Lonchura striata: one gene and its partners. The protein of the gene in region 1 purifies or fractionates together with the protein of each later gene. This does not show direct contact. Links are inferred from orthologs where the notes say so. Each region holds a gene or a part of one and is shown in the gene's direction. Other genes may lie near its edges.

Region 1 (7,092 bases):
GCTCTGGCATGATGATGCCCTGGAAAAACAGCCAAGTACCCATTTCAGTTACACCCTTTTTGCCAGCAAAGCTGCCTGTGGCTGACGTGAGAGCCTTGTCCTGCCCTGCAGTGGCCAAGCATAAAAGCATAAATGCTGGGTTATAAACAGCTCTCCAGGTCACACTGAGCCCCTGGGATGGCAGCTGCATGGGGCAGACATAGGCACTGGCTTGTTTTGACAATTAACTCTTCATTTGACATCTATCAGTGTTTTCATGTTGAATTCTGGACTCCCCAGGGAAGTACCCTTTTACAGCCCTGGTCTGAGGCTGCTTGGCACACTGTGTACAGAGGGGCATCATGGTCTGGTGATAGAGCCTGGAGTTAAACTGGTCCCAGCTGGTGTCTGGGCCTTTGGGAGTTAGGCCATGAAAGTCTTTAAACAGCAAAGAGGTTCTTGGGGGCTTTAATCCATGCAGTGGTAATCTCTGGAGAAAAGTGTTTTTATGTGTTTCTACTGCCTTCTTGTGAGCTGAGGGGAGAAACTGAGTATGGGGGCAGATCTGCAAAGAGGCTGCTGAGAAAAGCTGGGAGCAGAGGGGCTCTTCCCCACTGCCAGAGGCTCCCACACTGCTTCCTGGAGGAGATGGGTCTGTTGGGCAGTGGCCGTCTGGGCTGTCCCCAGTGGCAGCACGCTGTCCCCAATGGGAGCACGCTGTCCCCATCGCAGCTGGCGGCATGGCCTGGGAGGAGGGTGATGTGCCCTGTCAGAGGTGCCTGTGGCTGAGCTGGAGACACGGCCCAGGCTGGGAGCTGGAGCTGGGGAAGCTGCATAATGGCAAGCTGAGCTGTTGGGGCTGGGGCTGGCATCAGAGCAAGGTGGACATGGATTCACACCCCATGCTTGACTGCCAGCGTGTTGGTGGCACAGTGACAAGCAGCTGCATGCTGGGGACCTCCTGTAGCCCTCAGTCAGGCTGCTGCCCTTCTCCATAGCTCTGCTTTTGTGCCTGCCCCTGCCAAGGGCTAGGGCTGAGCCTGGGGGCAGGCACAGGGAGGCAGCGGGAAGCACAGATATGGGCTCCCTGCTCTGCCCAGAGAGTGCTGAACTCACTCCTTGTTGCTGAGCCAAGCTAAGGAACGGACTTTTTCCATTTGGCTGCTTCCAGAGCAGCCTCCTCCCCTTCCTTGGCTATTTTTACTCTGCTGGAGAAGGCAGCGCTGTTTGAAGCTGCACGGTCCCCTCCAGAGCCGAACTCAGCACGCTGCTCTTGGCTGGGATGTTTCCTTCTGGCCGGCCAGCCCTTCCCCGGGTGTTCATCTTCAGGGAAATGACGAGCGGAAAAATCTGCTCAGACAAACGGCTCTGGAGCATGGGGTTCACTCTGCTGCCACACGCAGGGTGCTGAGGTCTCAGGGCTTTCTTCTCAGCAGCACAGGCCTCAAGGCTGAACACTTACTCCCAGCTGGACCCCAAAGAGGTCCTTGTTTCATCTCAATGCCCACTGGAGGGTGGATCCATCCCCTCCATGTACCCAAAAGCATACCCTGACCACCTCTGCCTGCCCTCCTGGAGGACCATGCGTCTTGTGCATAGGGCTGGCTGCCTTCTCCCCAGATTACAGCATCCTTTTCAGGCTGTTAGCACCTCTTCTTCTTGCACTGCATCTCCCACCAGGTTCCTGTCATCTGGGACCATATCCTCAAGAAAAACTCAGGGAAGTGGGAGGCCATTGCCAAGCACCAGGTGAAGCACGCTTTCAGCCCCACTGAGGAGGAGCTGAAGCTGCAGGCAGGCAGGTGAGGCTGGAGCAGGTTTGCAGAGTGCCCAGTGGAACCAGTATCCCCATGAGCAGAGCTGGAGCTCGTCACTGGGAGGACAGAGGGGTCCTGTGGCACTGGCTGGAGATGTCCCCTCAGTGGCAGGGTGCAACAGGGATAGCTCACTGTCGGCCATTCCCTGTAAGCAGCCTCATCCCTCTCTGCCTGCACAGGTGGGCACAGACCTACAGCCTGGACATGATGGAGGCTCTGGCCCCTGACAAGCCCCGTTGCAGGGTGTGTGGTGTAGAAGCAACCAAGCGCTGCTCTCGCTGCCGGAACGAGTGGTACTGCACACGGTAAGGGAGCCCTGCCACCCCCTTGGGACCCCTGCAGCCCCCCTGGGCCTCCCTGCAGCTCCTCAGTACTCCCCAGAGCACCACAGGGTCTCACTGGAGAATTCTGTGGGAGGGCCAAGCAAAGCCAGGGGTCCCACCACTGCTCAGCACCACCAGCTCTCTGCTGGCCATGTACCTCTGTGAATTTTGTGGGGAGGCTGATGTGCTGGGCTGCTGGTGGAGGAGGTGTTGGTGAAGGTTATGTTGCTGAGGTGCTGAGCTGCCTCTGCCCACAGCAACAGCAGTGACAGGCTGGGTTTTCCATGGTGACACTGTCTTCCTCCTCCCACCTTGGTGGGGCACAAGTAGGAAAGCACCCATGACCCCATGGGTGCAGGTGACAAGCTGGGATGTGGCAGCTGGGACGGTGGCAGTAAATTAAATCTCTGGTCCTGGACCATCTGGCAAGGTCTGTCGTTAAACCTTCTTAACCCCCAGCACTGGGGCTGCATCCACCCCCTCTTAGTCTAATGCTGGGCTGTATCAGCTCTCTCCCAGCTCACAGAGGGTGCGGTCATGGAGTTTGTCCTTCTTGCTGCTTTGCCAACAGAGATGGATATGACTCCAGTGCCCCTGACAGCAGCTTCCCCCTCTGCAGGGCATGCCAGGTGCAGCACTGGCAGAAGCACAAGCCTGCCTGCAACCTGATGGCTGAGGTGCCAAGGAGTGTGGATGGTCTGTAAGAAAAGTGGTGTCTGGCAACTGGCCCATGGCTCACAGAGTCGGAGGTTCCCCTGGTGTGTAGCCCAGAGCGGGAAAGAAGCTGGCAAGGGCCCCTTCTGCCTGCTCCCAGCTGCAGGCAGCACAAGCCTGGGCTATCCTCTCCTCTCCCACCACCTCACCATTCTGCCTTCTCCAATAAACCTCCTTGTGCATCCCACAGTTGCTTGGCTTCTGTGTTTTCTCTCCTAGCTGAACGTAACAAACTGCTTCGTCCCCTCCTTTCCACAAAGTGGGAGGCGTGTGTCCATTTTCTCTGCAACAACAGAAATCCCTGAGAACCCGAAAAAAATTGTGAGGGTATGGTTACCTTACTGCATCTGGGAGGGAAGGGAGTGAGAAGGCTTCTGTGCCGTCTCACCATTGTTAGAGCAGCGTGGGGAGCAGAGGATGTGGTTTGCACGAGCATCTTGCTGTGAGAAAGAGTTTCTTGGGTATTTGTCATCTCCCACCTTGCAGGGACAATTCACCCCATTTCCTCGCTCTTGATGTGATGTTAGCACCAAGGGCTTGGTCCTCTGCCCACCAGCATTACCAGTAAACAGGTTCTACTGGTGGGGATACCCTGGGGTGCATCTCACTGGTCAGCAGCTGCTGCCAAAGGGCTGGAGCCTTGGTCTGAGCACAGCTGGGAAAGGTTGGCCATGTCCTTTTTCTGATGGGGCACTGGAGAATCCGACACATAAAAATAAGCTTTGCACCAAGGCTGCTGCTGCAGGAGCCACGGCAGCAGGCAGGAAACCATCTCGTCCAGCTGCAGCCGCGGCTGAGCAGCCCGCGCCCGGAGCTCAATAAACTCCTCACCCCAAACCCGTGCTGCACGTCCAGGGCTGCAGCCACCGGGAGCAGGAGCGCTCTCCGTAGCTCTCGGTCTGCTTCTCACCCGCCGCCAGGGGTGCTTCCAGCCCCTTCCTCACTGGGAAACTGAGGCAGGGAGCACAGTTTGTCCTCCTCCTGCGAGAAGAGGCAGAGAGAGCGGAGCGGCTGCAGCGGGCCCCCCTTCCTCCGCGGCGGCTCCGGGAACCTCATCCCCGCCTCCAGCCCGCCCCGCCGGGCTCGCCGGGACTGGAGTTGGCGATCGGGAGCCCGGGGCATTGAGCCCCATCTTTCCTGCCTCAGTTTCCCCGCAGTGCCCGATCGAGGCGGCCCCTCCCGATCCCCGCCCCGGCCCCGGCCCCGGCCCGGTGCCGGCCCCCGCCCCGCCGCCGAGCTGCGCCCGCGGCCGCCGGGCCATGGAGCTCATCGAGCTGCGGGAGCTGCAGCCGGAGCCGCGGCCGGGCCGGGGCCGCCTGGAACGGGCCAACGCGCTGCGCATCAGCCCGGCCCGCCGGCCCGGCCCCGGGGCGCACCCTGACCCGCGGCTGACGGCGGCACCGGGCGCCGGGCACCGCTTCGAGCCGCGGCGCCGCGGGCTGCACACCTGGTGCGATCTCTGCGGGGACTTCGTCTGGGGCGGCGGCAGGAAGAGCCTCCAGTGCCGCCGTGAGTACCGCGCCGCGCCCCGGGCCCCCGCACCCCCGCCGCCGGGCACGCCCGCACCCCCGCCAGGCTCCGGGCGTCCCGCCGCTCGGCTTCCTCAGCACCGGGCACCCCCAGCGAGCACCGGGCATCCCCACCACCGGGCACACTCACCACTGGGCGTTCCCACCGGGCATCCCACCAACCGGCCACCTCTACAGGACACCGAGCATCCTGGTAGTAGGCAGCCCCGCTGAGCACCGGCTGTCCCACTGGTGGGCATGAGTTTCCCAGCACCGGACATGCTGCCACCGGACACTCCCACCACCAGCGGGTGGGGCATCGGGCACCCCCACGGGCCCCCACCCTCTGGTAGTGGGCCCCCTCACTGTGCACCGGCTGCCCCACCACTGGGCACAGGCATCCCGCACCAGGCACCAAACATCCCAGCACAGGGCACCTCAATAATAATTACCCCCACCAGGCATCCTGGTGCCAGGCATTTCCATTAAGTTGGGCATCACCATTCTGGGCAGCTGCAGCAGGCACTGGGCTTCTGGGCACCAGGAGTTGCCACCAAACACTGGACACCCCTGGATCGGGCACCCACACCAGGCACTGGCAGCCCCATACAGAATACCCTCACACGGCACCATGCATCCCTGTACTGGGTACCTGCACCAGGTACCAGGTATTCCAGCATGGGGTACCCACACTGGCCACTGGGAATCCCAGCACTAGACACCCACACTGGGCAGCCCAGTACCAGGCACTGAGCACACCATGCTGGCCAGCACAGCAGGGAACACAGCAGCCCTGGCCAAGACATGGCACAGTGCTATCTCCCTGAGCCCCTGGGCACAGCATGAGCAGACAGCTGATGCTGTCACCGTGTGCCAGCCCTTGTCCCAGCCAGTGCCCTGACCCCCAGGCTGTGCACAGTGGTGACCCTGCTTCTGTCTCTGTCCCCAGACTGCAGCTTCACCTGCCACTACCGGTGCCGGGCCCTGGTGCAGCTGGACTGCGGTGGCCCCCCAGGTGCTGGTGATGAGGACGATGGCAATGAGCAGGTGCTGGAGAAGGACACCAACGTGGTAAGGCCTGTGCCTGTCTGTGAGGGAGAGCTTGCGCAGGGAGTGGCAAACTGGGGGCTACGCTGGGCTCGGGGGGGCTGAGCTGGGCTGTGCCATGTGAGGCCATGGCATGGCATGCCAGGCTGTGCCATGCCAGGCTGTGCCAAGCCTTGCTGAGCTGGGCTTGGCTGGGCTTAGCTGAGCTGAGTGCAGCTAGCATGCCAGGCTGTGCCATGCCAGGCTGCACCATGCCAGGCTATGCTGTGCCACGTTGGGCTGTGCCAAGCCTTGATGGACTGCACTGCGCTGGTCTGGGCTGAGTAAGGTCGTGCCATGCCATGTTGTGCCATGTCGGGCTATGCTGTGCCAAGCCAGGCTGTGCTGTGTCCTGCCCGTGCCGCGCCGCCCGCACCACACCGTGCCCGAGCCGAGCCGAGCGCAGCCGGGACTCAGCCGTGTCCGGGCGGGCGCGGGTGAAGTCACCGCCGGAAGCGGGGCCGCCGCGCCGCCCCCGGCCCGCGTCACCCCGCGGCCGGGGCGGGGCGGGGGGGACCGCGCTGAGCCGGGAGCGGGCAGGGCGCGGTAGACGCCGCGCCGAACCGAGCCGGGACAGGAGCGCGATAGGGACCGGTCTGAGCCGAGCCGAGGACGGGACCGCGATAGACGCCGGGCGGAGCCGAGCGGGACGGTGATAGGGACCGGGCGAAGCTGAGCCGGGACTGAGAGTGCGACCGGGCGGAGCCGAGACGCCATAGGGACCGAGCGGAGCCGAGCCGGGCCAAGGGCCGGGCTGAGCGGAGCCGGGCCAAGGACCGGGAGCGGGCTGAGCCGAGCCGGGAGCGGAGCGAGCCGGGCCCCGGCCCGGGGGCCGGTCGGGCTGGCGCGAGGCCGGGCGTGCCCGTGTGCTCGCCGCCCCGGCGGGGCCGCGGGGCGGCCGGGCCGGGCCGTGCCCACCGCCACCGCCGCCGTGCCCGTGGCCGGGCCGGGGGCCGGCGGGCCCGGGGGCTGCGGGGCGGCGGCGTTGGCTCTGCGGCGGGGCGGCGCGGGGGGCACGGGGGGCAGCACGGCCAGCAGCGGCTACTGCAGCCAGGAGGACTCCGACTCCGAGCCCGAGCTCTTCTACACCGCCCGCACCTCCCTCGGCCGCCGCCCGCGCCGCCGCCAGGTCGGTCCCGGGCCGTGACGTAATGGGGGACACGGGTGACGTCATCGGGAGCACATTCCCCCGGCTGGGTGCTGGGGAGCAGGCGAGGGTGGGCTTGGTGCGTGGGGAAACTAGAGGTGTCGGTGGTCTTTTCTTAGAGGTGAGCTTGGCCCTGCTGTGGGGCAGGAGTGGGGTCGAGCATGGCCGTGCCGGGGGACACGGTGGCCCTGTCCGGTTGGATGTGGGGCGAGTGGAGTTTCGCTGCCTGGCATGGGCATGCCAAGGTCCCCTCAGGGCTGGAGCTGCTGGAGTTTTGGGGGTGCCGGGACAAACTCCCCGAGCAGCTTCACAGCTGTCCCCATCCTGCAGGGTCCTGCAGTGCCTGCATGCTGTGGGGCGGCTGTCGGGACTGGGGACCCCTCAGTGCCGTGGGGACATGTGCAGCGCTGTGTGGCAGCTCCGCGGCCCCGCGTCAATACTCATTAGCGGGTGCCGGTGGCAGCGACGCCGAGCCAGGACGCTCGGTCCCCCGTGTGCGGGGCCAGCACTTTGAAGTG
Region 2 (6,824 bases), on another chromosome or scaffold:
GTCAGGCTGGTGCTGTGACCATTTCCCTGGGGAGCCTGTTCCAGTACCCAGCCACCCTCTGGGTGAAGAAACTTTTTTGAATACCCAGCCTAAACCTTCCCTAACACAACTTCATGCAATTCCCTTGGGTCTTGTCACTGGTCACCACAGAGATCAGTGTCTGTCCCCCATCATGAGGAAGCTGTAACTGCACTGAGATCTCCCCAGTCTTCTCCAGGCTGAACAGACCAAGTGACTTCAGCTGCTCCCTATAAGCAGCTCCCCTCAAGGATCTTCATCATCCTCATGGCCCTCCTTTGGATGCTCTCCAATAGTTTTGTATCTCACTTTTACTGTGGCACCCAGAACTGCCCCCAGCACTTGAGGTGAGGCCGCCCCAGGGCAGGGCAGAGCAGGACAATCCCCTCCCTTGTCCATCTGGCCATGCTGTGCCTGATGCCCCCAGGACACGGCTGGCCCTCCTGGCTGCCTGACTCAAATGCAACCCCAGGTCCACCTCCACGGTGCTGCTCACCAACCTCTTGTTCCCCACTCAGTATGTCAAGTGATCTGAAGCAATCCATATGGATACGTATTTCTTTTATGGTAGGGATGACACTTGACCTGAGACAAAGGGCCAGTCTAAAGGTTTGTACATCACTGAAACATCATCTAAAATTTGAAATTTGGACCTGAATGAAACTTGAATATTAGTGGGTAACAAATGGCACATACTACCAAGAAGCATGTTTTAAACTTCAAGCACTTTATTTAAACTGTGTCTTTTAAAAATACAGCATTGAAAAAATACAGCTTTGCAAATACTATTTGACCACATTCAGCTGTGGGACTCCAATTTGGTATTGAACATAATAAAACAACAAAATCAAACCAAGAAGATCAAAAGCCAGACAGGTGCAGATCTCAATCACTGTCTCTTTGAAACAGTAAGATATATCCCACAGTCCATGAATGGTGCAGTTTCTTCTACTGAAGGGGCATATCTATGTAATTTAGCTGCAGATAGGCAGGTGGTATCACTCTCAGACAGTGATTAGTGTCACAGGACACTAAGTCAGCTTTGTGCAGCATATCTCCACATTTCACTCAGCAGTGGACCTGATGCTCCATGTTGCAGAATATAAATTAGTTTCCAGATGATGACGAACTAATCTACCTGATTGAGATACTGACAGGGCAAGACACAGTGTGGAAAAGTGGCTATGGAGCTGGGACCCTGCAGCTTCCTCAGAGATATGTTCCAGAGCATAAAGCACCTTTCTTGTCTAGCTTCCATCTCTGATGAGGCAGCATAAGCTTATGAATAGACAAAGCCAGAGGTCGGCATCCTTTGAAGAGTTTACCACAAGACCATTTCTTTCCAAAGACAATCTTTTGCCCTTAGGGCTTTAATGGGTGATGCATCACCCATCACAAGACAGTTTGACTGTAACAGTTCATCTTTTATCATACCACTTTCTAACTGCATGTTATTTTACACTGCAATGTGAAATAGAGGACTACCTGAGCAGCCTATTTCATATGTAACTGTATCACCTACCTGTATGTAAGCATTTTATTCTCTGGTAAAATGCATTCTTTTTGGCTCTTGCTTTTCAAACTCACTGGCATCTTTCCAGCTATGGATGTTTCCATTTTTACTTAAAATAAGAAAGTGCTTAAAAGTGTATACAGTGTCTTTTGAGTACTGGTGTGCATTTCTCTATCACATTTAACCTGCTGTACTTGTGAGGCAAGTAACTATTTTACCTTTATGTCCAGGAACCAGCATCTGTCTGTTCTGCAACCAGTTGACAAGACCCCTTGGCGAGCTCCATCCATGCTTGAGAGACTAGCTATTCTTGCTGGTGATTGACATAAAGGCATGCCCAAAACTACAGACTGCAGTGACAGAAGCCTGAAGCTGGCATTCTCCAGTGGGTACCACATGGCAAGTCTTGAAGGTAACTATAATTATAATAAATTATTAGGAAGGGGTTCATATAGGAAAAGGCTATAGGGGATAGATATTATTTCTAAGTAGGCATCTACACCATCCTATGACAGGAAACAGCAAAGTCACAGTGGGGCCCAGATTAGCAGGGGTATTCCACGAGGAACACACTGCACCTTTGAATACCTTGCAAACCTTAAAAGTGCTGCTAGTTCTTCTGCACCTACACTATTGCATTTGTTCTATCAGCAGTGTCAGCTTCAGTGAAGAATGAGCACTGCTGCTCTTTACCACTGTGTCATCTCAGCCGCCTGACATGGCTGTGAAAATGCTTGTCTGCACTCCACAACCTTTAGAATAACGGCAGCTCAGGAAAAGTCTACTTTGGATGCAACATCCAAACACACCACACTGTGTAAGCCAAGACTCTGAGTGCTGTATTTATGCAGAGGAAGTGTTCATATCAAAACCATTAGGTGCTATAGACACTATGGACCAGCACTTATAATGATCCTGTTCTAACCTTTGTGGGTTGAAACTGTAGCCTCTAAGCTAGTAAGACAGAAAAAACTTAGTAGTGACAACCTGAAATGCATGTGAATTAGTCCACTGTGCCCTGGAACAAAATACAGAGAAGATGAGGCTGATATACTCGTTCATCCAGGCAAGCACTGTGCTCCTAAGCAGTAGGCAGAGAATCTGCACATCCAGCACTGTAAGAAGCTGCAGACAGAGGAGGTGTCTTCTCAGTCAGGGACAAGAGGTTATCTTAAAAAAAAAGCTATAAAAGTTTATATCCTTTCCTATGTCACAGTGAAATTTATCCCACATCACTTGAACCATATAAACAAGAGGCTTAAGTGTAAACGAGTGGCTTGGCTATGTCAGTAAAGTGAGAGGAACATCCCAGACAGATTTGACTTCTCCATCATTAGGAGCAAGTAACATACTTTTCAGAGGTTGCTATCACTGAGTATTGGGATGTAGATACTAATATCTATGAGAAAAGAAATTAAGCCTTTGGTTCTGTCATTGTATAAGTTTTCTGCTATCATTGCCCCATGGAGATGCTTGAGCCTGGTCAACATTACTTATTAAAGCTCTTGAATTTCTGCAGTTTTGAATAAGCTAAGACTACGGGCTTCAGCATGTTGTCCAAAACTAGTGTTTTTCTGGTGTCATATATCCGTGGGCATTGAATATGTGCAGAAGAACTATGTGTGAAGTATCTTATCAAATTAACTGCTTTTAAATTTAAAAAGTTAGCAAGAATATTTAGATTGCTGGGTGAGGGTGTGTTTCAGTATGACTCAAATTTTGCGGCAGTAGTACAGCAAGACGTAGGAGAGGACAACTGGCTTTGGGCAGTGGCACTGCTTTTTCATCCGGTTCTGGACCGCTGCAGGAGGCGCGATGCTGGCTTTGCCACATGAGCCCCGCAGGTCTGCCAGGCCATCACCTGCGGCTCCTCATCGCCCTGTTTTAAGGGACGGGCCTCGGGGTGACGGCCCGAACGGGCACGGGGAGCAAGGGACAAGAGGGGAGTGGGCTCGGGGGTCGCACGGCCGGGCCGGGAGCCAGGCGCGGGGCGCAGTCCTTGGCGTCCCCTCGGGGCGTTGTTCGCCCCCCGCGTCCTTCCTGCTTCCGGGGGCCGCCGCGGGGAGGATTTGCCGCAGATGACATCAGCCGTGGATGCTGGAAAGGCGGCGGCGGCGCGGAGGATGCGCCGGCTCCCCCCCTTCCTCCTCCTCCTCCTCACCAGGTCCCTGCCCTGCACCGTCTCCGTATAAAAGCGCCGCCGCCTCCCCACCCGCCCTCACTCCCTCCTTGCCGCCCGCGGAGCCGCCGCCGAGCTCAGCGCCCCGGAGCCGCGGGGCGGAGGCGATGGCCACCGTAGTGGTGGAAGTGGACTCGGAGCCCTCCTGCAGCATCCCCAACCCGACCTCCACCTCGCCCAGTCTCTCCCACCGCTTCCTAGACAGCAAGTTCTACCTGCTGGTGGTCATCGGCGAGCTGGTGACCGAGGAGCACCTGCGGCGGGCCATCACCAATATCGAGCGAGGTGAGGCGGCGGGAGCCGGGGTGCCGCAAGCAGCGCCGCGACACCCCCGCCGGCGCCCTGCCCCTCCCTGGGCGCGGCCGGGAGCCGGGATAGCCCCCGACATCATCCCGCCTAGCCGCCGTCTTCGGCTCTTTATTCCCCGGGGGTCCCGCCGCAATCGCCCACCCACCCATGCTCCGCCGCGGGGTGCGGGCGCTGCGGAAAGCCGCAGCGAGCCCCGTCCCCGCCATCGCTGGGCGGAGGGGCCGGCGGCAGCGCAGCGCCCGCCGCCGAGCCCGTCTGCCCGGAGACACCGGGGTGGGCGTGGCACGGTCCGCACTGCGGTCCCGGTGGCTGCTCGGGGCGGACAAAGGGCGGCTGGGGATGGGGTGGATGGGCTGGGCTGGGGCTGCGAGGCGGCTGCCGCCCGCAGTTCCCCGTCCCCCACCGCCGCGCTAAGCCCGCGGGTTCGGGGCGTTTTCCCTCTCGGCAGCAGAGGCTGCGCGGGCGGGAGCGCAGCCGCGCCTTTGTGTCTAACTTTGGGTGCTGGGACTTTTCTGTCGTCTGGACAATTTTTCAGGACCTAAGTTCTATATACGCGTATATATTCCAATAAAGAAAACCTTTATGAGTAACAAGGCTGTTACCCGAGGGCTCAGCCTCGTTATTGTCCGACTGCGGGCTCCTCTGACTCGGCGTTTATTTGTCCTTTTCTTAAGACGGCGATGCAGCGTGGTATTGCAAATGAAATGACAGTTTTATAAGTTTTCGTTGTGGTTTTTGATACAATAGATTTCAGTGTATATGCAGAGAGGAGAAAAAAAAAACAAAAACAAAAACAAAAAAAAAAAAAAAATAAACGGTATCAGTGGAATAAAGCATGAAGAAAATTATTGCCGGACCTTACAGTTACTTAAACTCAGTTGATAGCTGATTTTATAATATGTATTTTTTGTTCTGGGCTGGTGAAAACAAAGATTTATGGAACTGCCATTGTTAAGAGTGAAGAAGAGATCCCGGAACGAGGAATTGGTAGCAGCCTTGTCATGTAGGTGTGGTTCAGCAGTCCAGCTAGGACTTCATCTGTGTCTCTCTATTGTTGCTTTCTCAACCATTGTTGCTTTAGTTGCTTATTTCTCTGGATTCCTTTTCATTACAGTTTGAGGTAAAAGGCATCCTCATCTCAGCTAACTATTTCCATCATAAACTGTTCTATCTTTATTGCTACCATTGTCTCTTGGGGAGAGCTACTGAGGCAGGTGCTTTGTCATTCAGAGCTTCTTCAGCATCGCACTTCCTTAACTCTATCTAATTTTCAGTTGTGTCAGAAAAGAACAGGCTGCATTTTAATTAAATTGTCAAAGATTATAAAGCAAATTGGTAAAATTTACTCCCTCAAGACAACTAATATCCTCCCTCTGAAGAAATGCTCTCCAGTCCCTTCTTGAATCTCCTATTGTACAGTCACTGCTGCATAGCTCAATTACTGCTATCTCCTGCCACTAAGCATAACACCCACTTACAGGTTTAGGTGTTCAGAGGGAGTGTTTGACCTTTTAATTAATCATTTTGGATTAGAAGTGACCTTGATGCTTCTAGTATTAGACCATTTGATTGAGATTTTTGCCTCCTAAGAAAACTCCTTGGTGAAATTTTTAGGTACATTTTTCTGGATAAATAAAAGTGGGAGTCTGACGCTTTGTCTATGTGAGGCAATTGCAGGCTCAGCTAATAATTTTCTCTTTGGAAAGTCTGCTGTAGTCTGGGGAAAAAAATACTTCTTGCTGCCTTTATTCTCAATAGAGCTTTAAATGCATTTTGGTTCTCCATAACTCTGCCTTACTGTCTTCTCTGGTACATCTCCTGAGTACCATCACTGAAAACTGTGGATTCATGCGCCAAACTGCAGAGCAACGTGTCAAAGAAAACATCTGCTGATAACACATCAGTGGTGTGATGCTACGCAACCTGGTGGAATGCAGAGTCATTTCTTAATATATCATGGGGAGGGAATGGTGTGGCAAGACGCATTTTCAGTAATTACATTTTGGATGTGACTTTGCTAAGGGGGCAATTCTCCAACAACCCACAGTCCACCAAAAGAGAAGAGGGGAGTGAAGAAGAAGCTTCAAGATTTTTCCACTGATTTAGCAGATGCTACTGGGTGTGCCCTCCCTGCTGTCTTATTAGTCCTGTGTCTAGTGGCATTGCATTTCTAAGACTGCAGAAAGAAGGAAATAGCTCCAGTTCAGCCATGTTTATAGCAGATATGTCCACATTTCTAAGCCATCATTGGATTGACCTTGGATTTTAGTTCCATGTTTATCTTTGTTCCACCGAAAACCTGATTTAGTGGTATCATTCATTTAATACATTTTACTCCGCTATAATACGCATGCATAATTTTTGCATCCAGATTGCTGAATCATGCAGTTGCATATTTTAGATAGTCTACCCAAATTCCACCTTCAGCTTCTAGGACTACTGCGTGCATAGGGCATAAAGGCTTTTATCCCCTATTTTTTTTCCCCCTATTTATTTTGTGTTGAGTCCTGTATTTTGGACATTGCCTGGCTCAATCAGGCAATGATTGAGCAATCTTGACTACATCTAATCAGCACCTTATCCCTACAGCAAATTAGGATCGCATCTAAAGCAGCTAGGGATGGTGGATGAGTCCTTTCATTAGCAGTGTTGATAAATCATAGTTCATGTCAACTGACCTCTAGAAAGGATTGTAGTTTCTCTGCCCAAGCTTGGTGTCATAGGCCAGGGAATTGTTTTTCTTCAAGCTTCTTGAAGTTCAGCACTCATTCATTCAGTGTATTTCAGCTTTGTGATCAATGTCAG
Region 3 (6,923 bases), on another chromosome or scaffold:
AATGATTTAAAAGTCTACATGGTGGCACATGCTCCAAGTAGTACTTTAAATACAAGGAAAAATTGAGTTGTTTGAATTCTGGTTGAGGAAAGAAACAGGATTTTAACATATTTGGTTTTAGCCAGGTTATGTGTTACAGCAGGGGGAAGAGTCTGGATTGATCAAGAGTAAAATCTTTTTGTTTACTTCCAGCACATGCCATCCCTGTCACTCAGGTTTTCCATCATTTACCTGTCCAATCTCCTGTTTGGTGTCATTTTATGACAAACAACTTCTGTATAAAGGAAAACAAATGTATATTATTTTTTTTCTATTGAGTTTGTTTTGTTCCGGTGTAATATATTGTCCTTAGAACATCATGTAAAGCCGAGAGAGGAAGCAACTGACACATTATTTATAATGAGTATAAAAAATACATTAATGTACAATGCATACTTGTGTCTTTTTGGTTTTTATCCAGCATGAAAATAATAGAATAATTTGGGTTGGGAGGGACCTAAAGCCCATCCATTCCCACCCCTGCCATGGCAGGGACACCTTCCATTATCCCAAGGTTGTTCTAAGCCCTGTCCAAGCTGACCTTGGACACTTCCAGGGATCCAGGGACAGCCACCACCTCTCTTCCCATGGATGTTGTAAACACTTCAAATAGTATCTGCAAGTTTATCAAAGGCATGCACAATAATAAAAAGGATGGCTTGACAGCTGTGAAAAAGTAGTTTTTGCATTACAAAAGTATGACATTGAAGTGTAAAAAGCTGACAGGTAGTGAACACACCTTGGCTTCTGTTCAGCTGAAGTTGCATCCCTACTCTTCGCCTTTATATGGGAAGTATTGGGGGCTCGTTGCAAGATTTTCACACAGTCCTGGGGTGGGAAAAGCAGGAGGGGACCAGCGTGGGTCCCTGCTCCTGGTCAGGCAGGGGGACGGGGTACAGAACTGTGCCTAGTTCTGGGCTCCTCATGACAAAAAACACCGAGGGGCTGGAGGATGTCCAGGGAAGGGAACAGAGCTGGGAAGGGAATGGAGAGTTCCTGAGGAGCCGGGAAGGGAATGGAGAGTTCCTGAGGAGCTGGGAAGGGAATGGAGAGTTCCTGAGGGAGCTGGGAAGGGGCTGGAGAGTTCCTGAGGAGCTGGGAAGGGGCTGGAGAATCCCTGAGGAGCTGGGAAGGGGCTGGAGAGTTCCTGAGGAGCTGGGAAGGGGCTGGAGAGTTCCTGAGGAGCTGGGAAGGGAATGGAGAGTTCCTGAGGAGCCGGGAAGGGGCTGGAGAGTTCCTGAGGGAGCCGGGAAGGGAATGGAGAGTTCCTGAGGGAGCTGGGAAGGGAAGGGAATGGAGAGTTCCTGAGGAGCTGGGAAGAGGCTGGAGAGTTCCTGAGGAGCTGGGAAGGGAATGGAGAGTTCCTGAGGGAGCTGGGAAGGGAATGGAGAGTTCCTGAGGAGCTGGGAAGGGAATGGAGAGTTCCTGAGGAGCTGGGAAGGGAATGGAGAGTTCCTGAGGAGCTGGGAAGGGAATGGAGAGTTCCTGAGGAGCTGGGAAGGGACTGGAGAGTTCCTGAGGGAGCTGGGAAGGGGCTGGAGAGTTCCTGAGGGAGCTGGGAAGGGAATGGAGAGTTCCTGAGGAGCTGGGAAGGGGCTGGAGAGTTCCCGAGGAGCTGGAAGGGGCTGGAGAGTTCCCGAGGAGCTGGGAAGGGAATGGAGAGTTCCTGAGGGAGCTGGGAAGGGGCTGGAGAGTTCCCGAGGAGCTGGAAGGGGCTGGAGAGTTCCCGAGGAGCTGGGAAGGGAATGGAGAGTTCCTGAGGGAGCTGGGAAGGGAATGGAGAGTTCCTGAGGAGCTGGGAAGGGGCTGAGCCTGGAGCAAAGGAGGCTCAGGGGACTTTGTGGCTCTCACAGCTCCTGCCAGGAGGGGACAGCCGGGGGGGATTTGGGATCTGCTCCAGGGAACAAGGACAGGAGAAATGGCCTCAAGTTGCTCTAGGGGAGGTTTAAATGGGATACCAGAGAAAATTTCTCCACAGAAAGCGTTGTCAGGTAGCAGAAGGGGCTGCCCATCCCTGGAGGTGCCCAGGAAGGCCGGGATGTGGCACTGAGCGCTCTGGGGACAAGGTGGGCACCGGGCACGGCTTTGGACTCGTTGATCCCGGAGAGCTTTTCCAGCCTCGGAGATTCCATGATTCCATCACTGTGGGGTTCTGTCGCTCTGTCATCCCGGGGTTTCTGTCATTATTCCAGGATTTCTCTCATTCTGGGATTTCTGTCATTCCAGGATTTCTGTCACTCCGAGATTTCTCTCATTCCGGGATTTTTGTCATTATTCCTGGATTTCTCTCATTCCAGGATTTCTCTCATCCCGGAATTTCTGTCATCCTGGGATTTCTGTTATTCTGGGATTTCTGTCATTATTCTGGGATTTCTGTCATTATTCCGGGATTTCACTCATTCCGGGATTTCTGTCATCCCAGGATTTCTCTCATTCTGGGATTTCCGTCATTCCAGGATTTCTCTCACTCCGGGACTTCTGTCATCCCAGGATTTCTCTCATTCCAGGATTTTTGTCATCCCGGGATTTCTGTTATTCTGGGATTTCTGTTATTACTCCGGGATTTCTGTCATTATTCCAGGATTTCACTCATTCCGGTGTTTCTGTCATCCCGGGATTTCTCTCATTCCAGGATTTCTGTCATCCCAGGATTTCTCTCACTCCGGGATTTCTGTCATTCCGGGATTTCTCTCACTCCGGGATTTCACTCATTCCGGTGTTTCTGTCATCCCAGGATTTCTGTCATTCCGGGATTTCTGTCATCCCGGGATGTCTGTCATTATTCCAGGATTTCTGTCACTCCGGGATTTCTGTCATCCCAGGATTTCTCTCACTCCGGGATTTCTGTCATCCCAGGATTTCTGTCATTCCAGGATTTCTCTCATTCCGGGGTTTCTGTCATTCCAGGATTTCTGTCACTCCGGGATTTCTGTCATTCCGGGATTTTTGTCATTATTCCCGGATTTCTCTCATTCCAGGATTTCTCTCATCCCGGAATTTCTGTCATCCCGGGATTTCTGTTATTCTGGGATTTCTGTCATTATTCCGGGATTTCACTCATTCCGGGATTTCTGTCATCTCAGGATTTCTCTCATTCCAAGATTTCTGTTATTCTGGGATTTCTGTCATTATTCCAGGATTTCACTCATTCAGGGATTTCTCTCATTCCAGGATTTCTGTCATCCCAGGATTTCTGTCATTCCGGGATGTCTGTCATTATTCCAGGATTTCTCTCACTCCGGGATTTCTGTCATCCCAGGATTTCTGTCATTCTGGGATTTCTCTCACTCCAGGATTTCTCTCACTCCGGGATTTCTGTCATCCCCGGATTTCTCTCATTCCAGGATTTCTGTCATCCCGGGATTTCTGTTATTCTGGGATTTCTGTCATTATTCTGTGATTTCTGTCATTATTCCAGGATTTCACTCATTCCGGTGTTTCTCTCCTCCCAGGATTTCTGTCATTCCAGGATTTCTCATCCCAGGATTTCTCTCACTCCGGGCTGTCTCCTCCCAGGATTTCTCTCACTCCGGGCTGTCTCTCCTCCCAGGATTTCTCATCCCAGGATTTCTGTCATTCCAGGATTTCTGTCATCCCAGGATTTCTCATCCCAGGATTTCTCTCCTCCCGCCCGCTCCGTCCCCGCCGCTCCGCCTGTGCCGCGCCCTCCCTGCCGCGCGGGGGCGCTGCGGCCGCTCCCGCGCTGCCCCGCTCCGCCTGTGCCGCGGCCTCCCTGCCGCGCGGGGGCGCTGCGGCCGCTCCCGCGCTGCCCCGCGGCCGTGCCGGAGGGCGGCGGCCGCCGCCTTCCCACAAGGCCCCGCGCGCCCGCCGCGTCCCCTCAGCGACCCCGGCCCCGTCCCGATCCCCGTCCCCGTCCCCATCCCAACCCCGCTCCCGGTCCCGGCTCGGCCCCCGGGGGCGGCTTCGGAGCGGGGAGCGGCGCCGGGCATGCGGGCGGTGGCAGCGGGCCGGGAGGTGGGATGCTGTCGCGGAAGAAGACGCGGACGGAGCTCTCCAAGCCGGGCGAGGTGCAGGGGAAGTACGTGAAGAAGGAGACGAGCCCGCTGCTGCGGAGTGAGTGTCGGGGGCTCGGGGGGCCCATCCCGGCCTTCGTGTGCGGCGCGGCGGGCCCCGGAGCTGCGCGGCCGGGCGTGAGGGGGAGTTACCCCTGTGGCTGCGTGTAAGGGTTATTGCTCCCTGTAAATGTGTGCTTAGTGCTGCTACGAGCCCTGGGAGGTGAAAGCTGAAAGGAAGTTAAAGCTCAAAGGAAGCTTCAAAGGGAGCCCTGCTCGTTCCAGCGTTTTCTTGGTGGGGTTTGTGATTTTCTCGGTGGCTGTTTCAGCAGGCCTCAGGGGTTCAGAGTTGTGTGAAATGAAGCCAAGAGCTCTCAGGGTGTGCGGGATGGGGAAGGTGCCTGCGGCACGGGCGGCCAGCCCGAGTTGTTCTGGGTTCCGTCCATCCATGAGCCCGCTGCCCCACCTGGGCATTGTCAATGAGATAACTGTCCCGCCAGACAGGTAAAATATCGTAAAATAAAATCCCTGCGGAAACAAATGCTGCAGCTCCTGCCCGTGGCTCAACCTGGGCTGCCCCTGGCTCTGATGCCGCAGCCCTGCGCTCCTGAGGCTGGACACCACAAATGCACACCGAAAGTGTGCTCAAGGTTTGGTTTTGTTGGTCTTGAAACACAACCCGACGCTGAAATGGGTCTGTGTGCTCAATAAATTGACTGCTGACACCTGGGGTGCACCAGATTTTAACCGTAAGCTGTAAGAGTTTATGAATAAAAAGTAATTGACAATAGGAGTAACGTCGTTCTAAATGAAAATTATCATCTATATTGATTTATCTGGAAGGAATCTATGTATTTATATCGTGTTGAAAGTAAAAGTAGGGAGAGGAGGAATGTTTCACATACTGGAGGGAGGCAATGAAATTCTAAAGGAGAAAGTGAACTATCTCCCTGATAATTTGAGAACTTAATGCTTATGGAATGACATCGTTTTTCTGGCTGAACTTTGTGACTTTGGGATTAGTGGGGGCAGCGTGAATTCTATCTTGGATTCCTGTGGGCATTAATATCTTGTCATTCCCAGTTTGTAAGGACAACATTCCCAAAGAAGCAGTAGCCAAGATATGTGGATTTTTTCTGAGAGATACGAACCCTGACTGATACAGCCACAGCACAGTGTGGGTGGTTTGGTGTTTTGTTCTTTTCTTGTGTGGTTTTTTTGATGGGTTTGGGGTTGGTTTGTTTACTGCAGCTGCAGTTTTACTGGCAGAATGCTCAGCGGGTTCCTGGTGTGGTGTGTGCGCCAGGATTCTCTGCAGCGTTACCACCACATTTGCACAGGCGTTAGCGGCTCCTGCACGAGAATTCCCCCAGTTTGAGTGTGTAAATCACCGCGGCTGCTCCGGCAGAGTTCTCACCTCTCCTCCGTGCTCTCTGGCAGATCTGATGCCTTCCTTTATCCGCCACGGTCCGACCATTCCACGACGAACCGATATCTGCCCTCCCGACTCCGCATCCTCTGCCTACGCGCCCGGCGGCGATGGGATCGTGTCCCGCAACCAGAGCTTCCTCCGAACTGCGGTGCAGAGGCCGCCCCACGAGATAATGAGGCGAGAAAGCAACAGACTGTCCGCACCTTCCTACCTGGCCAGGGGCTTGGCGGAGGTGCCCAGGGAATACGGCTCCTCCTCGCAGTCCTTCCTGGCAGAAGCCGCCCCCGGGCTGGAGAACGGCGACGCCGGAGCCCGCGGCTATTACTACGATCATTTCTACGATGCCCAGAGGAGACGCCTGCACGAGGACTACAGGTATTACGAGCACAGCAGCGATCTTTTCCAGAGGATGTCCCAGAATCATGGGAGGCACACTTCAGGTAAGGATTCGTTGTTGCTTTTGTTAAAATTCCGGTTTTGGTGAGAGTTTGGGTGCAGTTTGGGGAGTTTGGATGATCAGGATTGTGTCTGAGGTGTGTGGGACAGAGCTGCTTTTTCATGGCATTTCTGGGATTTGGGTAATTGGAATTGAGGGTTTGGTCACAGATATCCAGAACAGAAAAATAGACTTAAACCAGGATTATTTTCTTAAATAAATGGAGTAAGGCCAAGCAAGTTTTGGGGTTTTTAATGCCAGGCGTATGTACATCTTCTCTACACATCACTTGCTGGCTAGCAGGGAATTTTATTTGTTGGGGGACATCTCCTATTTTCATAATGTAGAGAATAACCAACAACTCTAAATTACAACATTACATTATTATTATTATTATTAATGTTAATATGAATATTAATTGTTATTGTTATTAGCATTACATTTTAACTATCGTCTTATTACTTCATTTCATTGTTTGAATTTGACTTCAATAATAGAAATAATTCCTTACAAATAGTCATAGGGAAGAATGACTGTTTTTTGTAATTAGTAAATTGGCATCTAATTAGTGTTGGCATTGACTCCTTAATCCTTGACTCCTTTCGTTCAGCTTTTAAAATTGTTTGTAAATATGCCTGTTCCCCTCTTAGTTTCACTGGAACTTGCCTTTGTTTCCTAAAACAAAACAACATAAAAAAGAAAAATCCATTACATACTACTTTTCTGAAATATTTGACTCTGATATTATAAAAACTATGCCCAAGAAGGAGTTTGGAACATTTCAAACCTGTAAATAACATCCCTTCAATATGAAATACATTGTCACTTGTAATCTGTGAACAAAGTAGTAATTAGTGGCTAATAAAATGAATCTCCTGTCTAGAAAAAGAAATCTGCCAGGAAGAACATCAGCTTTTAATGCTGCTGACCTCATGTGTGGGATTAGAACCTGTCAGTGCCTTCTTCATCAAAGAAACACTTCCATGAAAAATGGAAATGCCAG
Region 4 (7,346 bases), on another chromosome or scaffold:
GTATTTAGGATATATTTCTATACAAAGATTTCTAATTTTATTTTTATTCATAATTCTTATCATAAAACCCCTACCTACTACCAAATAGAAAATAAAATCCCCTTTATTTTAAACCATATTTAAATATTTTTTTATTTCTATTTTTGATTTTTACAAGTACTTATATATTCTATCACAATATATTGAAGTACTATATTTCGATATATAAAATTTATGACAATGTGTTATAATGAGACATATTTAGTAAAATATTCATTATGTACTATATTGATTCCTATTATTTTGTATTTTTTCTATTTATATTTATATATCCACATATTTATACATCTCTATATGGATATTTTGTTTATATTTATGGTCTATATTTATATGTGTTTATATAACATATAAAACACTCTATATCAAACAATATAAAATCTAATATTAATGGATAATATTATTTATGTTACATGTGTTACTTATATGTATTCCACTTAAATTTCAAATTGAAGTTTTTTGTTCCCATTTTCATATTTATGCATTTGTTTTGTTTCATTAGAGTTATAGTTAAAACACTGCAGTTATAATCTAATTCCTAAAAATAAAATGCCAAAACAGGCAGCATCAAATTCCCACCAATACCGTCCAAAAAATTCCGAAAGGCTCCACCAGCCAACCAACTACCAGCAAAAAAAACCGCACTACACTCCTTTCACTGGCAGCTCTTATCACGTCACAAAAACGAAACATTTAAAAAAACCCTATAGAAACCCACACAGCAAATCACAAAAAATACTAAAAAAACAAGCACCAACTAACTTACTATACTCCAAACCATACAAGAGACCCTGAAAGTTTCTTAAAAAAAACAAAATTCTACCACTACACTGACTCATAAAGAGAACCCAATGCTCTATAAAATTAACTAAAAAACCCCACCAAATAATTACCAATATAAAAAAATCAAAACCACAAAGAAAGGAAAAACTCACCACCCAAATAAAATCACTACCTATAAAGATCTACCATAGAAATGCCCATGTTCCCAAAAAATTTATTTTATAAAAATAAAACTAATAAAAAACAACAAATACATCCAACTACAAAAATCATATTAACAACAACAAAATAATTATTCCTAACTCAATAAACCCATAATGCCTCAAACCATCAAAACACAAATACCACCTAGAAATAAACAAAGAGAAATGTAATCACAAACAATATCTCCCAAATTCTCTGGGACAATAAAACATTCTCGGCAATTAAATAAGACAAATGAATAAAACCCCTATAACATAATAAACAAGAATGCAATTATCAATATTTAAAAAACCTCATTAATTAACTACAGGACAATACCTCAAACCAACCAAAACAAACACAAGGCACTCGCGCTAATAAACGCCTCCACAACCGAATTCAAAACCTACCCTCTACTCCCTGCTCTGACCCATAAAAGCCATGGTAAACCGATCAAAAAGAAATCCAACAACACTCAACCCAAAAAAACCCTTGTCATGAGCACCTGAAGCAAAAACCGTAACAACCAAGAAGTCCCCACGGCCCTTCTCATGCACCAGCTACGAACAAAAGAAAACAATCGCATAAATTCCTCAAAACCATCTCAAAACCACCTCAGCAAGGAAGGCTGGAAAATGCGAAGCTGCGCTCCCGGCACCGGTCCATCGGTGACGGAGGTGTGAGTACCCCGAGTCGAATCCCTAGAGCACAAAAGCTTACAATTGCACCAGAAACTGAAACCTGAGCAAAACCAACTGCTTCTGTCCGCTGCTCACCTGGCACACTGGGCCTTGACTGCTGCTGTCTGCCTGGACCTCCTAAAAATAAAGGCAAAGAACACTGCTGTGACACAGTCACCATTGAGGCTGCTCCTGCAAATGCAAACAATGACTGACCTGCTCATGGCAACACCCTCACCCAGGACTGGGGCCCTTGGCCACAGATTTGAACTGTCTGCATCTGAAAGGAAGTCAGGACTAGTGTCAAACGGCTGCAGGACAACTTAGCATCACCAAACATGTTATGTCAATCTCCCCATATAATCCAGAGCCCAACTACACCCTGCATAACAAATTTCAAGTCCCCAGGACTTGTGCTATTACAGGCTATGCAGCAGGGCAGAGCAGCTGTGGGACAAATACGTGCAGACACCCGTGACACAGGACAGGGAGAGAGAGCTTTTGAGGAGAAGAAAGGACCGAGAGACCCAAAGAACACAGAGTGCACCAGAGACAAGTGACAGGACACACACCAGAACTGCTCTGCCCTGAGCACCTCAGCACTGTGGTCAAAACAGACACTTTCCCTTTAGGTGGCCTAAGGGGACACTCCTTGCACATCCCCATCTCCAAAACTGACTCAAAAACCCCTCCTGGGGAGTCCCAACCCAGCACCTCTCTTCCATCCCCTCTGTGGGTTGTAACCCTGCACTTATCTTGCACATATCAGGGGATGAAAATCCCCATCGGTGCAGAAGGAAGACACTGCTCCCATCTCCAGGCCCTGGCCCTGACTTATCTTTTGGATGACTGGTGATGTGAATCCACGTTGGACCTGAAATGAGTCTGGCTCAGAGGAGATAGCCTGTTAGCCTCTTAGTCTCCTAAAATAAAGAACGGGAAAATCAACGGTTGTGTTTCGTGTTATGTGGGCTGAATCTCAGCAAGTCACCTACTTATCCTCTCCTGAGTGTGCCTGGGTGCAGATCCAGAGCCCCTGGGTGTCCCGGGAATCGGGGGTGGCGGATCCAGAGCCCCTGGGTGTCCCGGGAATCGGGGGTGGCGGATCCAGAGCCTCTGGGTGTCCCGGGAATCGCGGGTGGCGGATGCGGGGTGTCCCGGGAATCACGGGTGGCGGATCCAGAGCCCCTGGGTGTCCCGGGAATCGGGGGTGACGGATCCAGAGCCCCTGGGTGTCCCGGGAATCGGGGGTGGCAGATGCGGGGTGTCCCGGGAATAGCGGGTGACGGATGCAGAGCCCCTGGGTGTCCCGGGAATAGCGGGTGACGGATGCGGGGTGTCCCGGGAATCGGGGGTGGCGGATGCAGAGCCCCTGGGTGTCCCGGGAATCGGGGGTGGCGGATGCAGAGCCCCTGGGTGTCCCGGGAATCGGGGGCGCTCCGGTGCAGGTGGAGGCGCTCCGGGAGGTGCTGGACGAGCTGGGCAGGCGGGACCGCCGGCGCCGGAGCTGGGTGCCCTGGGTACGGCGGGGCTGGGGGTGGCGGGAGCTCGCCCTGGGGGTCCGGGGGAGACCCCAAACCCCCTTTGGTGGGGGTCCGCGCCGGGGCTGGCGGTGCCGCCCCGCAGTGCGCGGTGCGGCGCGGGGCACGCACCGGGAAGCTCTGCAGCTGCCCCCGCGGCACCTCCTGCATCCTCTTCATCCTCAAGTGCTCCTGAGGGAGCGGGGACAGCGGGGGACAGCGGGGGACAGCGGGGGACACCCGCCTGCGGCCCCAGCCCCGTCCCCGCGCCGGGATGGACCCGCACAGCACCGCCGCTGCCCCGGCCCGCCGGCTGGCGATGTCCGCGGACACATTAAACCATTGGATCCACGCCTGCCGCCTGCTTTTTGGGGGAATTTTGAGGTTCCCAGCCCCCTCTGCCGCTGGGCAGGGTCCTGAGGGAGGGGTGGGGTCCCCATCCTGCCCCCCTTCCTGTCGGGAATCTGAGGTTGGGGCAGGAATGAGGGATAGGAGTGGGAATCTCATCCCGTTGTGGGAGAGGGGAAGCAGGAATGGGAGCGCTGCGGGGACGGGCACGGAGCTGAGTCCTGGATCCTCCCGTGGTCACGGCACCGGGGCGGATGGATGGAGAATCCGCGGGCAGCGGGATGCGGGGGGGCTCGTACAGCCCGGTCCGGACGCATCCCGCATCCAGAATTCCAAATCTCGATCTAGAATCCCGCATCCAGAATTCCAAATCTCGATCTAGAATCCCGCATCCCCATCCAGAATCTCGGATCCCCATCCATGGATCCCGCATTCCCATCCATGATCCCGCATCCAGAATCCTGGATCCCCACCCATGATCCAGCATCCAGAATCTCGTATCTCCATCCAGAATCCCTCATCCCCACCCATGATCCCGCATCCCCATCCCCGATCCCGCATCCCCATCCATAGCCCCCCAACTCGCGCGGCCCAGGCGGGCCCCACACTCTGCCCCACCCGCGCGTTGCCGTTTTAAGAACCCTCTCTCCTCCCTCCGCCCGCCCTCCCGCCTCCCCTGCGGCGCCTCCTATTGGCTGGCAGTGACATCATGGGTGTGGCATGGCCGCGGTGACGCAGGGGGCGTGGCCGGCGGGCGGGTGGGGGGCGCCGAAGATGGCGGCGGCTCCGGCGGCACCGGCGGCTGCGGCGGCTCCGGCCGCGGGGCCGCGCCGCTTCTCGCTGCTCGCCATCGTGGGCGGCGGCTGCCACCGCCCCGGCCTCCGGGCCGCCGCCCTGCAGCAGCTGGAGCGAGGTGAGACCGCATGATGCTCCGGGGGACCCGCCCGCCTCCACCGGAGGAGCCCCCCGAGGGGATGCCCCCGAGGCACCGCGGCGTGATCGGGCTGCCCCGTTCCTCCCCAACCCCCCGGGATTCGCTCCTTTGGCTTCTCAGGGTTTGCGCCCTGAAATTCCCAGGATTTGCCCCATTTCCTGCCCCCCACCCCCGGCCGGATCTGCGCCCTCGCGTTCGCCCTTGTAAAATCGCAGATCTGCCTCTTTTTGCTGCCCCAAAATCCTCGGGGGTCTGAAACCTCAAGCTCTTCCTTCCTCTCAAGACCCCCAGAATTTGCTCCTCCTGAATTTGTCCGCCCCCCAAGGATCCGCCCCTAAATGCCCAGGATTTACCCCAGTATTGCAGGGACCCCCCCCAGTCCAGCCCCCACACCCCCCTCTGAGCAGTCCCGGATTTGGGGGGGGGTCTCAGACCCCGGAACATCCCAGCGGGGCAGATCCCAAAGCCAGGATGGGAGGGACATTCCCAGCCCTGCTCCTTTGTCCCCTCACTGTGAGCCTGCCCCAAACCTCATCAAAACCACCCCAAAACGGCCACAAACCCTTGTGCAACCCCGGGCCGGTTACACCATCCCCCACCCATTCTCCACCCATTACCCAGAGCACCCTGGGCCACCCAAATTTTGGGGAATAGGCTCCCAAAATCCCTTCTGGGAAGTCCCGAAGGGCTGTTCAGGTGCTGCACCTGTCCCTGGTGCTGGCAGGTAGCGCCAAATCTTTTAATTCCCTAATTGGCACCTTTGGAGGTGTTGGCAGAGCTGCTCGTGCCCCGGGGGGTCAGGATTTGGGATTTGGCAGAGCCGGAGCTGCCGTGAGTCACGGCACAAGGAGCTCACCTGCTGGGCAGGTGTCGGCACAGGTGGGCTTGGAGGCACCCCAAAAACACCTTAGGGTGGGATTTTTGGGGGGGCTTTAGGGAGGATTTTATGGGGTCAGCCCTAGCTGGCACTGTGTGGGTTTTGGGGATGGCGCTGGCGGATTCTGAGCCCCCAGTCCCAAATTTTTAGTTAGCGTTTTTCCCCCACAGGGATCCGCTCGTGGGACATCGACCTCACCTGCTGTAACCTGGACGAGCAGCTGAAGCTCTTTGTGTCCCGGCACTCGGCCACCTTCTCCAGCATTGTCAAAGGTAAAATATGGGATAAAAACCAGGAAGAATGGGGAGAATGTCTCCTGGATGCCAGGGAAGGGTGGGAAAGGGGGTGTTGGAATCAGGGGTGCCCCCTTCCCATTCCCTTCTCCCGGGTTTTGTGGGAACAGGCCCGACTTTGTGTCCCTCCCATCCAAACCCCGTGATCCCCCACGTGAGGAGCCACATCCTTCTCCCACCCTGGGGCAGGATGGGATTTTCCATGGAGCGATGGAAATGGGAAAATGGAGCTGAGGCTGCCCCAGTGTCTTTTCCCCCCACATCCCACCCCCGGCTGGGTCCCCGCTGGGTGTTTCCCTGCTTACAGCGGGAAATCAACCCCAAACCTGCCCCTGGAGCACCCAGAGCATTTTGGGGGAGTCTCCCCCACCTGTCCCCGCTGCTGTTCCCTCCCCTTCCGGGCAGGAAGGACACGGGAAATGTGTCCCCCGGCCCCCACGGTGTCTGGCAGCGGGACCGTGCCTGTCCCTCTTCCTCCAGAAAACCGGGCAGCACCCGGCCATGCCACCCCCACGGGGACAAACCGGGGGGGCATGGCTGTCACCACTCCATCCCCGCAGGTCAGCGGACCCTCCACCACCGCGGTGACGTGCTGGAGACCCTGGTGCTGCTCAACCCTTCTGACAAATCGCTGTGCGATGAGGTGAGCTGGGGCCGCTGCTGCGGGACGGGTTCGGTGCTGTCCCCGCGGTGTCCCCTCTGTCCTGACACGGTGTCCCCTCTGTCTGTCCTGGTGTCCCCAGCTGCGGAACCTCATCACGGACGTGTCGCAGCACAAGCTGCTGGTGTTTGCGGGGCCCTGTGTGGAGGACACCGGGGAGATGATGCTGCAGACCGGCTGCTTCTCCCTGCGGGATTTCATCCAGATCTTCACGGACAAGGAGGTGCGGGGAGGGGGATGATCCTGGGGATTTAGGGAGGAGATGTTGGGAGTCTTGTGGGGCAGATCGTGGGGATTTAGGGGTGCAGATCCAGGGAGTTTTGGAGTGCAGATCCAGGGAGTTTTGGAGTGCAGATCCAGGGGATTTAGGGGTGCAGATCCTGGGAGATTTGGGGTGCAGATCCTGGGGATTAAGGGGTGCAGCTCCTGGGAGTTTTGGGGTGCGGATCATGGGGATTTAGGGGGGCAGATCCTCAGCTGGATCCACAGCTGCAGCCAGGGTGAGGGATCAGGGAAAGCCCCACCTTGGGAGCCACCCACCCCCCAGGACCCTGCCCAGCAGCAGAGGGTGCTGGCACCCCAAAATCCCTCCAGAAAGCAGGCAGCAGGCTTGGATCCAATGGTTTAATGTGTCCCTGGACACCTCCCACCCCCACGGGTCCATCCTGGTGGGGGGTGGGGGTGACCTCGGTGCCCCCTCCTACCTGAAGCTGCCGCTCTGTGCAGGTGGGCGAGATCCTGAGCTCTGCAGACCCCTCGGCCAAGGCCAGGCTGACTATCAGCTGCCCTGATTTTGGGGAGTGGAGGGACTCGGGCTTGGAGCACCACAACCTGCAGGACTTCATCGAGCTGCGCTACAACCCCGGCTGCGTGCTGCCGCAGATGGAGGGGCTGGAGGAGTTCATGGAGTACCTGTCGGAGTCTCTGGAGCCCCAGTCCCCCTTTGACCTACTGGAGCCCCCCACCATGGTGGGATTCCTGAAGCTTTCCAAACCCTGCTGCTACATCTTCCCAGGCGGGAGAGGGGACTC

What was found.
Region 2: the proteins of RASSF1 (region 1) and MAP1B purify together in Homo sapiens (affinity purification with mass spectrometry; 3 studies listed by BioGRID and IntAct, counting the BioPlex papers as one, with this or other methods). This does not show direct contact. The link is inferred for Lonchura striata from reciprocal best matches to the Homo sapiens genes RASSF1 and MAP1B.
Region 3: the proteins of RASSF1 (region 1) and SAV1 purify together in Homo sapiens (affinity purification with western blotting; 3 studies listed by BioGRID, with this or other methods). This does not show direct contact. The link is inferred for Lonchura striata from reciprocal best matches to the Homo sapiens genes RASSF1 and SAV1.
Region 4: the proteins of RASSF1 (region 1) and MAP1S purify together in Homo sapiens (affinity purification with mass spectrometry; 4 studies listed by BioGRID and IntAct, counting the BioPlex papers as one, with this or other methods). This does not show direct contact. The link is inferred for Lonchura striata from reciprocal best matches to the Homo sapiens genes RASSF1 and MAP1S.

What each region holds. Positions count from the first base shown.
Region 1 is NC_134614.1:8,485,062-8,492,153, forward strand, and holds the start of RASSF1 (ras association domain-containing protein 1), read left to right. Parts: upstream 1-4,092; coding exon 4,093-4,342; intron 4,343-5,290; coding exon 5,291-5,412; intron 5,413-7,092. Other genes in the region: ZMYND10 (zinc finger MYND domain-containing protein 10), read left to right, coding at 1,660-1,781, 1,976-2,101, 2,739-2,823. UniProt on the Homo sapiens protein: Potential tumor suppressor. Required for death receptor-dependent apoptosis. Mediates activation of STK3/MST2 and STK4/MST1 during Fas-induced apoptosis by preventing their dephosphorylation.
Region 2 is NC_134642.1:15,334,145-15,340,968, reverse strand, and holds the start of MAP1B (microtubule-associated protein 1B), read left to right. Parts: upstream 1-3,802; 5' UTR 3,803-3,817; coding exon 3,818-3,995; intron 3,996-6,824. UniProt on the Homo sapiens protein: Facilitates tyrosination of alpha-tubulin in neuronal microtubules. Phosphorylated MAP1B is required for proper microtubule dynamics and plays a role in the cytoskeletal changes that accompany neuronal differentiation and neurite extension.
Region 3 is NC_134608.1:2,199,274-2,206,196, reverse strand, and holds the start of SAV1 (protein salvador homolog 1), read left to right. Parts: upstream 1-3,916; 5' UTR 3,917-4,019; coding exon 4,020-4,113; intron 4,114-5,492; coding exon 5,493-5,924; intron 5,925-6,923. UniProt on the Homo sapiens protein: Regulator of STK3/MST2 and STK4/MST1 in the Hippo signaling pathway which plays a pivotal role in organ size control and tumor suppression by restricting proliferation and promoting apoptosis.
Region 4 is NC_134630.1:7,898,811-7,906,156, reverse strand, and holds the start of MAP1S (microtubule-associated protein 1S), read left to right. Parts: upstream 1-4,324; coding exon 4,325-4,463; intron 4,464-5,531; coding exon 5,532-5,633; intron 5,634-6,214; coding exon 6,215-6,297; intron 6,298-6,397; coding exon 6,398-6,538; intron 6,539-7,041; coding exon 7,042-7,346. UniProt on the Homo sapiens protein: Microtubule-associated protein that mediates aggregation of mitochondria resulting in cell death and genomic destruction (MAGD). Plays a role in anchoring the microtubule organizing center to the centrosomes. Binds to DNA. Plays a role in apoptosis.